2 linked regions of the Canis lupus familiaris genome follow. The protein of the gene in region 2 purifies or fractionates together with the protein of the main gene of each other region. This does not show direct contact. Links are inferred from orthologs where the notes say so. Each region holds a gene or a part of one and is shown on either strand. Other genes may lie near its edges.

Region 1 (5,905 bases), on a different chromosome or scaffold from region 2:
GGTAGATCTGAATGACAAGAAGGCACCAGCCATGCCAAGAGCAGGGAGAAGAGGTTCTGGTAGGGGTTCCGCACTGGAAATGCCAGGTCAGATTTGTAAGGAACCAAAAGACAGTTTGGCTGAACTGAAGTGGGAGGCAGGGGGAGGAGTGGGCAGTAAGAAACATACCACGTAGAGTCTGCAAGACAATACTGACAGTATTCCCATCCAAAGAATAGAAAACTCATAAACTCACATTTAAGAGTGATCCAATTTGTTTCAGTCCTACACTCTCCAGGAATACGGCAGCCACTTGCCACAGGGGCTTATGAACACCTGCATGCAGATGGTGCCACTGCAGCACAGAACTTGCCCCCTCACTGAATTTTTTTTTTTTTAAGACTTATTTGAGAGACACAGAGAGTAAGAAAGAGAAAGAGCGAGCACGAATGGGATGAGAGTAGAGGGAGAAGCAAACTCCCGCTGAGCAGGGAACCTGATGCAGGACTCGATCCTGGAACTCCAGGATCATGACCTGAGTTGAAGGCAGATGCTTAACCGACTGAGCCACCCAGGCACACCCCCCCCCCCCCCCCCGCCCACTGAATTCTAACTGATTAACGTTTACACTGAAAACCCTGACATGTAGTCCAGCTCCTGGAAAACTTGTAAGCATGTTGGAAACAGACAGCGTGGGCCTGTGGATCTACATTTTCAACTGCCAATTTTATGAAAACTAAAGCCAGACTGATTATTTCAGACGAAAATGCAGCTGCACAGAGCACCTGGGTGGCTCAGTGGCTGATCATCTGCCTTTGGCTCAGGTCATGATCCCAGGTCCAGGCATAGCATCCCCCTATTGGGCTCCCCACAGGGAGCCTGCTTCTCCCTCTGCCTGTGTCTCTGCCTCTCACGAATAAATAAATACAAATCTTAAAAAAAAAAAAAAAAAAAAAGTTTTTTAAACAAGAAAGAAAATGTGGCTGCAACGGAAAACCCACGGGATTTCGAAGACTTGGTACTTAGTAAAAGAATGGAAGAAAGCTCATTTGTATTTTTTATACCTGTATGTGGGCATAAGATCTTGACTATCCTGGGTTAAAGATAAAACATTAATTTCACCGTTGTGGTGTTTTTTTTTTGTTTGTTTGTTTTTTGTTTTTACTTTTTCTTAAACGTGCTCGCTAGAAAAATGTGAAGCGAGAAGTGTGGCTCGGGTCAACTTTCCACGGGTCGCGGGTGGAGGCAGAGGCTCCGGGGTCTCCCAGGCCGGGCGCGACGGCAGTCAGACCCTGACGAGGGGTGCAGACAAGTTTCTGGTTGTATTATGCAGTCACGAGCCAAGTCAGGGAGTTTTCAACGGCCCCGTTCACCGGGGCGGGGCGCCTGTGGCCCCGGGAGTTGAGTGGCAGAGGCCGGACTCCCAAGTCCTCCTCCTTACTGCGCCGTCCACCTGAAACCTCCCAGTGGCCCTCGAGGAGGCGAGAGCGGGATTCGAACCGGGCCCGACTCCCGGGGCCACGGTCCCAGAGTGCCGCGTGACCGCCGCTCCGTCTCCCCTCAGGGGTGCGACCAACGTTCACAACGGATTCCCCCGCCGCTGGGCCTGAGGGGCCGGGAGTCCCTCAGGGAAGGTCCCGGCAACGCTCACCTGCGAACGGACGCCAGGGCGACAAACGCTCCTCCTTCCCTCTCTCTCTCTCTCTCCACACGCGGCTCAAGCACGCCGGCAGCCGACTTCCGCTTCTGGGCGGCGAATCCCCAGCTAAGTATTCCTCTCTTCCCGCCCCACGACCAACCCAGCCAATCACGTCGCAGAGAATCTGCATCCGCCCTGCCAGACGCCGGCCTGCCAATCACCACGAGAGCCAGCGCCGCCCTTCCCGCCCTCTTAAGCGGGCGCCGCGCGCCACCGCTAGGCGGTTGGCGGAGCTGCCCTCCGCCGGGCTGCGTCCCCCGGAAGGGCGGGGCGAAGCGCGCACCACGCCGGTGCGGGAACCTTTGGGATTGGCCGAGAGGAGACTCGCGCTCTGCCTCCGTCTACCCCCGCCCCCAGACATCCGAGTCGGAGACGCTGGGGATTGGTTCCCGCTGGACACCCAAAAAAGCCAAGAAATGATTCCGCCTCCCTTGAGCACCCCGGCGAGGGAGCCCCACGGATTGGCCCGAGGAGTCTCGGCGCGCGCCGACCCGCGCTCCACGATTGGCTGAGGGTGTGCTCGCGCCGTCGGCGAGCGCTGACGGTGATTGGCCGGAGGGTGGGGCCGGCTATTTGAAGGAGGCGCGCGGAGCGAAGGCGCACTTCAGTCGGCGGACAGAAGAGGCGGGAGCGGTAGGGAGTAACGCTACCCCGCTGACCGCAGAGGACTCAGGCGCGGGCTCGGCCCCAGCTGTGGCCTCTGCCGCGGCCCGGCGAGGCGATGGCCAAGGTTTCTGTGCTGAACGTGGCGGTGCTGGAGAATCCGAGCCCTTTCCACAGCCCCTTCCGGTTCGAGATCAGCTTCGAGTGCAATGAGGCCCTGGCGGACGGTGAGGCTGGGCCGGTGTGGAGATACCCCTCCCCCACCCCTCCCCACCTTCCCAGACTTCCCACGAGAAACGAGCCCCCCCCATTCCCCTCCTCCCCTCCCCTTCAGCCCCAGCCTCCTTGAGAGACTGCCCCTGACACCCCTGGCCAAGCCGCCCCCGCCCCACGGTTACTCCCATTTCTCCCGCGGAGACCTCCTCATCCCCCCTCCCCCTTCCTGTGGAGCTTCTTTGACCTGCGGAGACCTCCAGTCACCCAGACTGACCCTCACAGTTATCCTTATGAGATCCCTTTCCCTCGTGGCAAGACCTTACTCGTCCCCATCTCCCCATTTGTCTCTCCGTACAGCCGGTCTCCCCTCCCTAAGCCGCATGATATTTAAAACAACCCCATCCCCACCCACTTCGGATTGTTTTCTACCCCCAAAGCACATACCCTGGACCCTGGCTTCCCACCTCCTTATCCTGGCCCCAGTTTTACCAGCTTGCGCCCACGGGGGGAAGCACGGCAGGTTTCCAGCTCCAGTCTTTCAGGATAACTTGGTCTCCCCAGTTCCCGTGCCTCCCTCCTGTCTGTGTGCTTCGATAAACACGCTCATATCTGAAGGGTGGCAACACCAGGCAAGCATCAGCCGGTTCCCACTGTCTGCCCACCAGGTTCCAGCAGATCTATTGCAGCAGTTCTTCCCACACTTTTGATGGGCTGACCCAGTCTGGGAGTTGGGGCCAGGCTGAGCCATGACGGTATCTGGCTTCAAACAATCGGCTGGGAGGTCAGAACTTTTTGTGAATCTTTTCCAAGGTGCTTTCACAGATGGACTTATTCATCTGTGCGTTATAAAGGTGGACATGGTTCTCATCTCACAGATGAGAAGACAGGAACCACAAAGAATGAAAGACCTTTCAAGTAAAGGTCTATAAAAATCGAAAATCTAAGGTTGCCCAGGGACTCTTGGCACCACTTTCAGGAGGAAGTACTCCATTAGACAGATTCTTCACTTGGTGGTTAAAGAAGAGGCAGCAGGCAGCTGGGGAGATGGGGATCTATGAGGCCATGGTGTGCTAACTAGCGCCCCTCAGTGGTAGGTGGGTGGTTTGTGGGAAAAGCCAGCCTTTTGTGTTAGTTTGGGGTTGATAAAATTTGAGATGTGTGTGCTTTTGGCCTGGGCCAATAGATCAGTCTCTCAGCTTCTCTCCTTTTTAAATTAAGGAATCTACTTGTGACTAACTATAGAATAAGCCCAGTTAAATCCTTTCTGGAACAAGCCAGGGTGTAAATAAATAATTAAAGTGTAGAATGACACTGTGGAATAAGAATTTAATTTTAAAGACAGGAGATGTAAGGAGCTAATAGGTTAAGGGATTCACAGTTCCCAGAAGGCAGGATATCAGGTTTCAAACAGCCTGTTTGTGCTCCTTGCATTTAAAAAGGGTTGCATAGTCATTATCTAGTACTTCTATTCCTAGGAAAACCCCTGCCCTATTACTTTACTAATCTGTTTATAGACTCAGAGCAGGAAAGTCAAAAGTCAACCTGCTGGTCATTATTTTTTAATAGAGAGAAATGGGCTGACTTCTCTGAGGTCACACAGCCTATCTGTAGAAGTAATGACACTAGAGTTTGTCTCTGAGTTGAGTCCAGAATTCTCTACCTTTGCTATTATAACCTGGGAAAAAAAAGAATTCATCCCTTATTTTATTTTATTTTACTTTAAGATTTTTTGTTTATTCGTGAGAGACACAGAGAGAGACAGAGGGAAAAGCAGGCTTCCTGTGGGGAGCCTGATGTGGAACTTGATCCCAGGACCCCAGGATCACAACCTGAGCCAAAGGCAGATGCTCAACCACTGAGCCATTCAGGTGTCCCTTCATCCCTTATTTTAGAAGTGGAGCATAAATAAAACTGACCAAATAATTGATTTCCACGTTGGGACGCTCTCAAAAGAAAATGAAGGGAGTGCTACTATTAATTACACCCAGACAATAAAGCTTTTGCTCAGAGAAATGGAAGTTGGAAAGCAAACTCTGGCCTGGAAATCCAGACTCTGGTTCTACCCCTAGGGCTGTCCATGACTTTGACCTGCCAACTTGCTTTCTGCCTATTCCTGGCCTTCTTCCCATGGAACAGAGAGAATCCGTTTCCTGCCTCCCAAAGAGATGGAGGGGGCCTGGCTTTAGAAGTCTCTCAGATTCTGGAGAAATCTCAGTCTCGTTACCTTGACGCTAGCAACTGAAGCTCTGACAAAAGACCCAACCCCCAATCAGTGACTGATTCTATTTCCCAAGGGGTTCTTTTTTCTCCTCAGCATCTAGAAATAGATGCTTCCTAGGCATGGGTCCACATTTAATACATTAGATGTGTTTTTCCTCTCTTCCATTGAGAAATTCAACAGCCACTGTTTGAATAAGTCATGAAACCAGATGTTCTGACCCACAGCTAACACCGTGGGCAGGCCAAGATTCATCTATATCATCTGAACACTGGCAAAGTGATAAATAGAAAAAAGCCTACTAGATAGTTTTTGTGTTGGTTTGTTTGTTTTAAGGCAGGAAACATTCTCCAGCTACTTCAATGAAAATGAACTTTTACATGCCTTCGATCAGGTTGTTAGTTTTGGTTTTGTTTTCGTACATAGTGGAAGAACATGTTGTTGACTGTTCCATTGCAAAGTTAGGGCCTAAAGACAAAATTGAATATTGTCAAGTTACCCTTGAAATTGCCTAAAAAGTTAGGCACACCGTGTTATGCATGTACAATCGCGTCCTGTATTCAGAAGGAATGAGTTTGTGCTGTACTCGTGATGGACATCCGTGGTTATATTTTAAAAATGGAGCCACTTAAGTATGCTTCTACTAAAAACGCTTCAGCAAGTTTAAGGCAATCCAGTTTTTAGGTCCTTATTTTCAAGCATCTGCTGTTTTCCATAGATGACTGTATCAGCTCCCCTATCCATTGAGTCAATATTTCTCTGTGGCCCTCGGTCAATTCTCTGGTTTCTTTTCGGCCTCTCTTGAGGGAGCCATTGCAGACCATTTGGCCGCCGGCGCAGTGCGCTTTCTCCTCCTGGTGGCACCCACACCACACCAGTCTTTGCCAGTGGTATCGAACATCCACTGCCCGTGGCCAACGCAGGGCCTGCTCTACTTTGGTGCCCTTTTTATCTACCTCCCCCCCCCCCTTGCTGCCCCAGCACATTAGCTAAATGCACACATATAGGACTCCACTGGTGGCAGAGGGAAGGCCAGGAGGAAAGCTACCAAAATAGAGAACTGTGTTAGAAAGGCAAGGACAGAGCCAGCTTGATTTTTGTTCGCCCAGAAACATGTTTTATCTAGTCATGTCACTCCTTGTAACAAAGATAAATCAGTAAACTTAACTGGTTCCTGCAAATAATAAGAG
Region 2 (5,422 bases):
AAAAAACAAAACAAAAAACAACAATCAAGTAGTCATGTTTGGAGCGGTGATTTCAGTGAGTTTTTTTTTAGTGAATCTTCATTTTTTTTTTCAGACTTTTTATTCTATGTCTGGCATCATTTATTGAAGACAAATATTTAAGGCTTTGAGCGATATTACAGTTTTGGAAGAAAACTAAAATACTGCGTTAGTTGAATCATCATAGTCTTTTATTGATTTTTTTAGAGAATGAACTCAGACTTTCCAAAAATCTTTCAGATAGTAATATGATTAGTTGATATGATTAGCTTAGACGTCATTAAAAATTTTTAATGAAATTTTCCAAACAGAAACAAATGTAGCAAGAATACCATACTGAACCTTCACATACTTCCTCAGTGGCAATAGACATCAAGGTTTTATTTCATTTCCTTCATCTGTCCCTTTTCCTCTTTTTTTTTTTTTGATTAAGTTTTTTTTTTTTTTTTTTTTAATTAAGATTTTATTCATGAAAGACGGGGGTGGGGTGGGGCAGAGACACAGGCAGAGGGTTACTTTTTTTTTTTTTTTTTTTTTTTAATTTTTATTTATTTATGATAGTCACAGAGAGAGAGAGAGAGAGAGAGGCAGAGACACAGGCAGAGGGAGAAGCAGGCTCCATGCACCGGGAGCCTGATGTGGGACTCGATCCCGGGTCCCCAGGATCACGCCCTGGGCCAAAGGCAGGCGCCAAACCGCTGCGCCACCCAGGGATCCCGGCAGAGGGTTACATGCAGGGAACCCAATGTGAGACTCGATCCCAGGACTCCAGGATCATGCCCTGGGCCGAAGGCAGGCGCTAAACCACTAAGCCACCCAGGGATCCTCTGGGTTAAGTGTTTTTAGCAGATTCCAGGCATCCTGTTATCTCACCCTTAAATATTTCAATAAACATTTTCTAAAAATATGAACTTTTAAAAAACATAAACAGTATCTCTATCACGGTTAACAACATTCATTATCATTTAACAAAATATTACCATTTAAAACCCAGTCCATATTTAGTTTTTACATGGTTTTGAAATGGAGTCAGTTGTTAAAGAAATTATTATCCAGAAATACATTAAGAATATGTATGTGCTACATTTAAATGAAAATGGAAAGATGGAGAGATTTCTCCTCATCCCCTGAGACCTTGTAAAGGGACACTGTATGTGCCTTGTTGTGTGTTTTATTGGGAAACAGGTTGAGTGAGTGATTCTCTGCAAACCTGAACATTATAGAATGAGTTGAGTCTTTATTCTGGACATAGGTCATGAAGATGGGTCAATATTTAAAGAGTTGAAAGGCAATTAGGAAGAATGACAAGAGCTTACTTTCAGGTATTGAAGGGGGACATCATAAATATTACTTTCCTTGATAACTCTAGTCTAAGTTATTCTATTCCTTTTCTGAACTTCAGTAGTATAATTGTTTGATACAATTTAACATTTCATTATATAACTGTTAATCTAGGGTTTTTATATAAGTATCTTAAACTTTCTTTGTGAGAGTATATAAACAATATCTCATGATAGTAAGGTCTATGATATTTATAATTATATATACATATATGCAGCTTTTAATAGAGGTTTTTGGAAGATCAGACAAAAAAGCTTGTTTTATCTTTTCTCCATCTTTACTATCTGAAGTTGACCCTGTAATAAACATTCACAAAGTATTTTAAACATTGACAAATGAGAGGTTATACACATACTAAAGCTATGTAATAGATTTGAAAACATTATCCCTATGATTATTACATGCTTTAAACTTTTACAAAATTAACTTACCTTACGTTTTTTAAATTAGGCAGCAGCTGTACAATTTGGAAACCTTATTACAAGCCAACTGTGATTTTGGTAAGTTTTAAGTGTTTTTAATGGCAGAAAGGATTGAATTACACATCTGTCTATGATGCATATTGGGATATCATAGTAACATGGAGGAAGAAGCATTAGGTTAGAAGTTCATGATAGTGTTTAGCATTCAGAAAAATATGACACTTAAATTTTGAGATTTATAGTATTTTCTGTATTTGTGATAAAATTGATTTAAGGCTAAACATTTTTTAAGGGAATTAGCAACTTGCTTTGGGAGTGGGAAGTGAGAGAAATTGCCTGAATTCATGCTGCCTTCTTTGCTCTTCTTTCTGTGTTTGACGTTTAATGAGTTACTCATTTGGGGGGTTTGGTATATGTTAAGGTGGTGAAGGGAATTGAAAGGCAGGGTGTTTTAGTGCAAGCTAACTGCTTCTCCTTTCTGGCAATTGTGCTACAGTGTAGTAATTAGAATCATGGCACTCTGGTCAGCCTGGGTTCCAACCCTACCTAACTGTCAGTCTCATACCAGAGAATAGTTCCCACCTCATTATTGAGTTCTTGTGAGGATTAGGTGATATCATTCAAGTGCTTAGGCTAATATCTGTTATTGGTGATGCTCAGCAACTAAAGATCACCTGGAATACACCTTTGGACAATGACAGGTTGAGTAGCTTACTGACAGAAGACGGAAGTACACCCATCATGAGGAACAATTGGGGCTTCTCAGTAGAAAGAGAGGGGCTTGTGATAGGGTTTGCACTTGTGCTGTCTGATTTGGAGTAGAGTTTAAGGGGGCCAGGCCTTTTATTTTTGATTGGATGCTGTTAAGCAGGAACAGTGTAATGAATATGTTAATTTTTATCTAGGAGATAGGGCCAAGAAAGGCTAGGGAGGGTTTTAATTAGTAGCGTAGTAATAGTCATGTTAGCTGCACAAGGGAAATATTTTGTTTTTGTATTTTGTTTGTTTTTCTGTAATTGCATAGTGCCATGTTTCTGTATTCAGACATGATTACAGAGAGATTTTGCTTTTGTCTTGTTTCACCATAATCACAGAGTGGCCTTGTCTGATTTGATTATTTTTGATATATTTTGATAATATTTTTTATATCATATTTTGGGAGGGAACATCATGACCTAGTTGTTAGCAGTCGACTGTCAGGACTGTTTTGTTTTTTCAGTATGTGCTCAGTAAATGTTGAGTATTATTTATCACCTGAGGCTCTGTTTCATGCCAGGTACTATATAAGGTGATAATGAATCAAAGTAGAAAAATCTGTCGAGTTTGTAGTTGGTAGGACATACAGACACATAAGCATAGGACGTGATAGATGGAAAAGTGTAGTAATCGTGGCAAGTATAAGCTGCTGTGGGAGCCACGGGCTGTTTACGTGCCCATCACAGAGTGATGCCACATCTCGGGTCTACAGAGATGAAGTAGAAAATAGGTAGGCAGAAATTTTGAGGACAAGAAGAGTTCCAGATAGAAACAACTGTATAGACCAAATCATCGAGATGTGTTAAAAGTTCAGGCAGCAGGAAGTGCTAATTAGTTTTGGTTGGATCAGAATGTATGATAGAGTCATGAATTGGGAAGGGATGAAATCACAAATGAATTGCTACTTGTATGGCTTATAAATTTTTTTGTCACTGCCCACTAACTATTTAGACTTTGATTAACACTTAATCTGTTTTGGTTTCAGGGAAGATATCAACCCTACACTGCAAAGCAGACAGTATTAGGCAGCAGTGTGTGACATTTCTTCATTATGTCAAGGTTTTCATCTTTAGGTAGGATGTCAAATGAATATTTTTATCCCTGCATGAATTTTTGAGTGCAAGTTCATCCAGACTCTAGTTATTTATTGTATCTATCTATTTTTTTAGGTACCTGAAAGTACAAAGTGCTGAGAGTCCTGTTCCTGTCCATCCCTATGAAACTTTGGAGGCACAACTACCCTCTGTGTTGGTTAATGAACTCCATGGATTACTTTTGTATATTGGACATCTATCTGAACTTCCCAGTATTAATCTAGGAGCATTTGTAAATCAAAACCAGATTAAGGTTTGACTTGTTTCATTTAATTATTAAATCATCAGTTTTTTTCTTTGCACAAGGAATATTCATTCATTCAAGAATGAGGGAAACTAGTCAAGAGTGAAGCTCGGGAACCAGATTGCCTGACTGAAATTCTGGCTCCTCTTCTAATTATATGCCATTGGGCAAGGAAAACCTCTTGCTTCCGTCTCCTCATGTTTGTAGTTGGTATATTTTCCTAGTTATTGGGAAAATTAAATAAATTAAAATTAATTAAATAAAGTACTTATAGTATAATCTATACTAAATCTATACTAAAGCAGTGATAGCTGTTCTCAATTCTAGTTTATAAAAAAAAATTCTAGTTTATAACATGCAAATATGTACAAATTTCAAAGCAAAAAACCTTTATTTTTAAAAATTTGTATCATTTTTCCCATTGATAAAGATTTGGGGAAACCCTAGATTATGTTATAGTAAAATTCAAGATCATCTTATAAAAGTTACACTTTCAAAATCATAGCAGTATTTCTATTCTTAGTAACTTTTGAGACTTTTTTGGAATATGATTAAGATTATTTAAACTATGCTCTTTTTTTCTACCTGTGAAATCATTCCTACTGAAGGTTTGTTTTTTAAAAATTTGTATTGAGGGATCCCTGGGTGGCGCAGCGGTTCGGCGCCTGCCTTTGGCCCAGGGCGCGATCCTGGAGATCTGGGATCGAATCCCACGTCGGGCTCCCGGTGCATGGAGCCTGCTTCTCCCTCTGCCTGCGTCTCTGCCTCTCTCTCTCTCTCTCTGTGTGTGTGACTATCATAAATAAATAAAAAAAAATTAAAAAAATAAAATAAAATAAAATAAAAATTTGTATTGAAAAAAAAAATTTGTATTGACAGCATGACCCAGCTTATCGATGTAATTAACAAATTCTCCATAGGAAATGTGAGCTTATATGAATGGCAAATTATAATTCCCCATGGGATTCCCTGAACTCTCAACTTCTTTCCTTCTATTTAACTTTACCAATTTGAATAACATTTGGATTTTAGGAAGGTGTCTTTGACAAAATGTAAAATATGAAAAAATGTTTATTTCTGTGAAATTTAACAACAAAAAAAATGCACTCTTCTTATCAGGGACCAATATATGTCAAATTAAAAATAAAGAGTCCTAAGTGAATTCACAGGTTCATATGTCTAATCCATAGAAGGCAAATAGGTAATTGCTTTTTGTTTTTTTAATTTTTTTTTTTTTATTTTAAGGTAATTGCTTTTATTCATGACAATAAATATTCGTGGAAAGATTATGGAGGAAGGGATATTTTTCCTTTATTTTGGTTTCTATAAATGGGACTGGCTTTATTTTCTGGATATTCATCAAATGCTTAAGAAAATAAAAATTTGGGCACCTGGGTGGCTGGGTTGGTCTTAGGCTCAGGTCATGATCCCAGGATCCTGGGATGGATTGAGCCCTGTATTGAATCTCACTCCCTGCTCAGAGGAGAGCCTGCTTCTTCTCCCTCTCCCTCTGCTCTTGTGTGCTTGTGCATGTACCCCCCCCCTGC

The links.
Region 1: the proteins of MMS22L (region 2) and ASF1B purify together in Homo sapiens (co-immunoprecipitation; 4 studies listed by BioGRID and IntAct, counting the BioPlex papers as one, with this or other methods). This does not show direct contact. The link is inferred for Canis lupus familiaris from reciprocal best matches to the Homo sapiens genes MMS22L and ASF1B.

The regions. Positions count from the first base shown.
Region 1 is NC_049241.1:48,794,708-48,800,612, forward strand, and holds the start of ASF1B (histone chaperone ASF1B), read left to right. Parts: upstream 1-1,931; 5' UTR 1,932-2,399; coding exon 2,400-2,508; intron 2,509-5,905. UniProt on the Homo sapiens protein: Histone chaperone that facilitates histone deposition and histone exchange and removal during nucleosome assembly and disassembly. Cooperates with chromatin assembly factor 1 (CAF-1) to promote replication-dependent chromatin assembly.
Region 2 is NC_049233.1:55,967,004-55,972,425, reverse strand, and holds part of MMS22L (protein MMS22-like), read left to right. Parts: intron 1-1,809; coding exon 1,810-1,859; intron 1,860-3,522; coding exon 3,523-3,610; intron 3,611-3,706; coding exon 3,707-3,884; intron 3,885-5,422. UniProt on the Homo sapiens protein: Component of the MMS22L-TONSL complex, a complex that promotes homologous recombination-mediated repair of double-strand breaks (DSBs) at stalled or collapsed replication forks.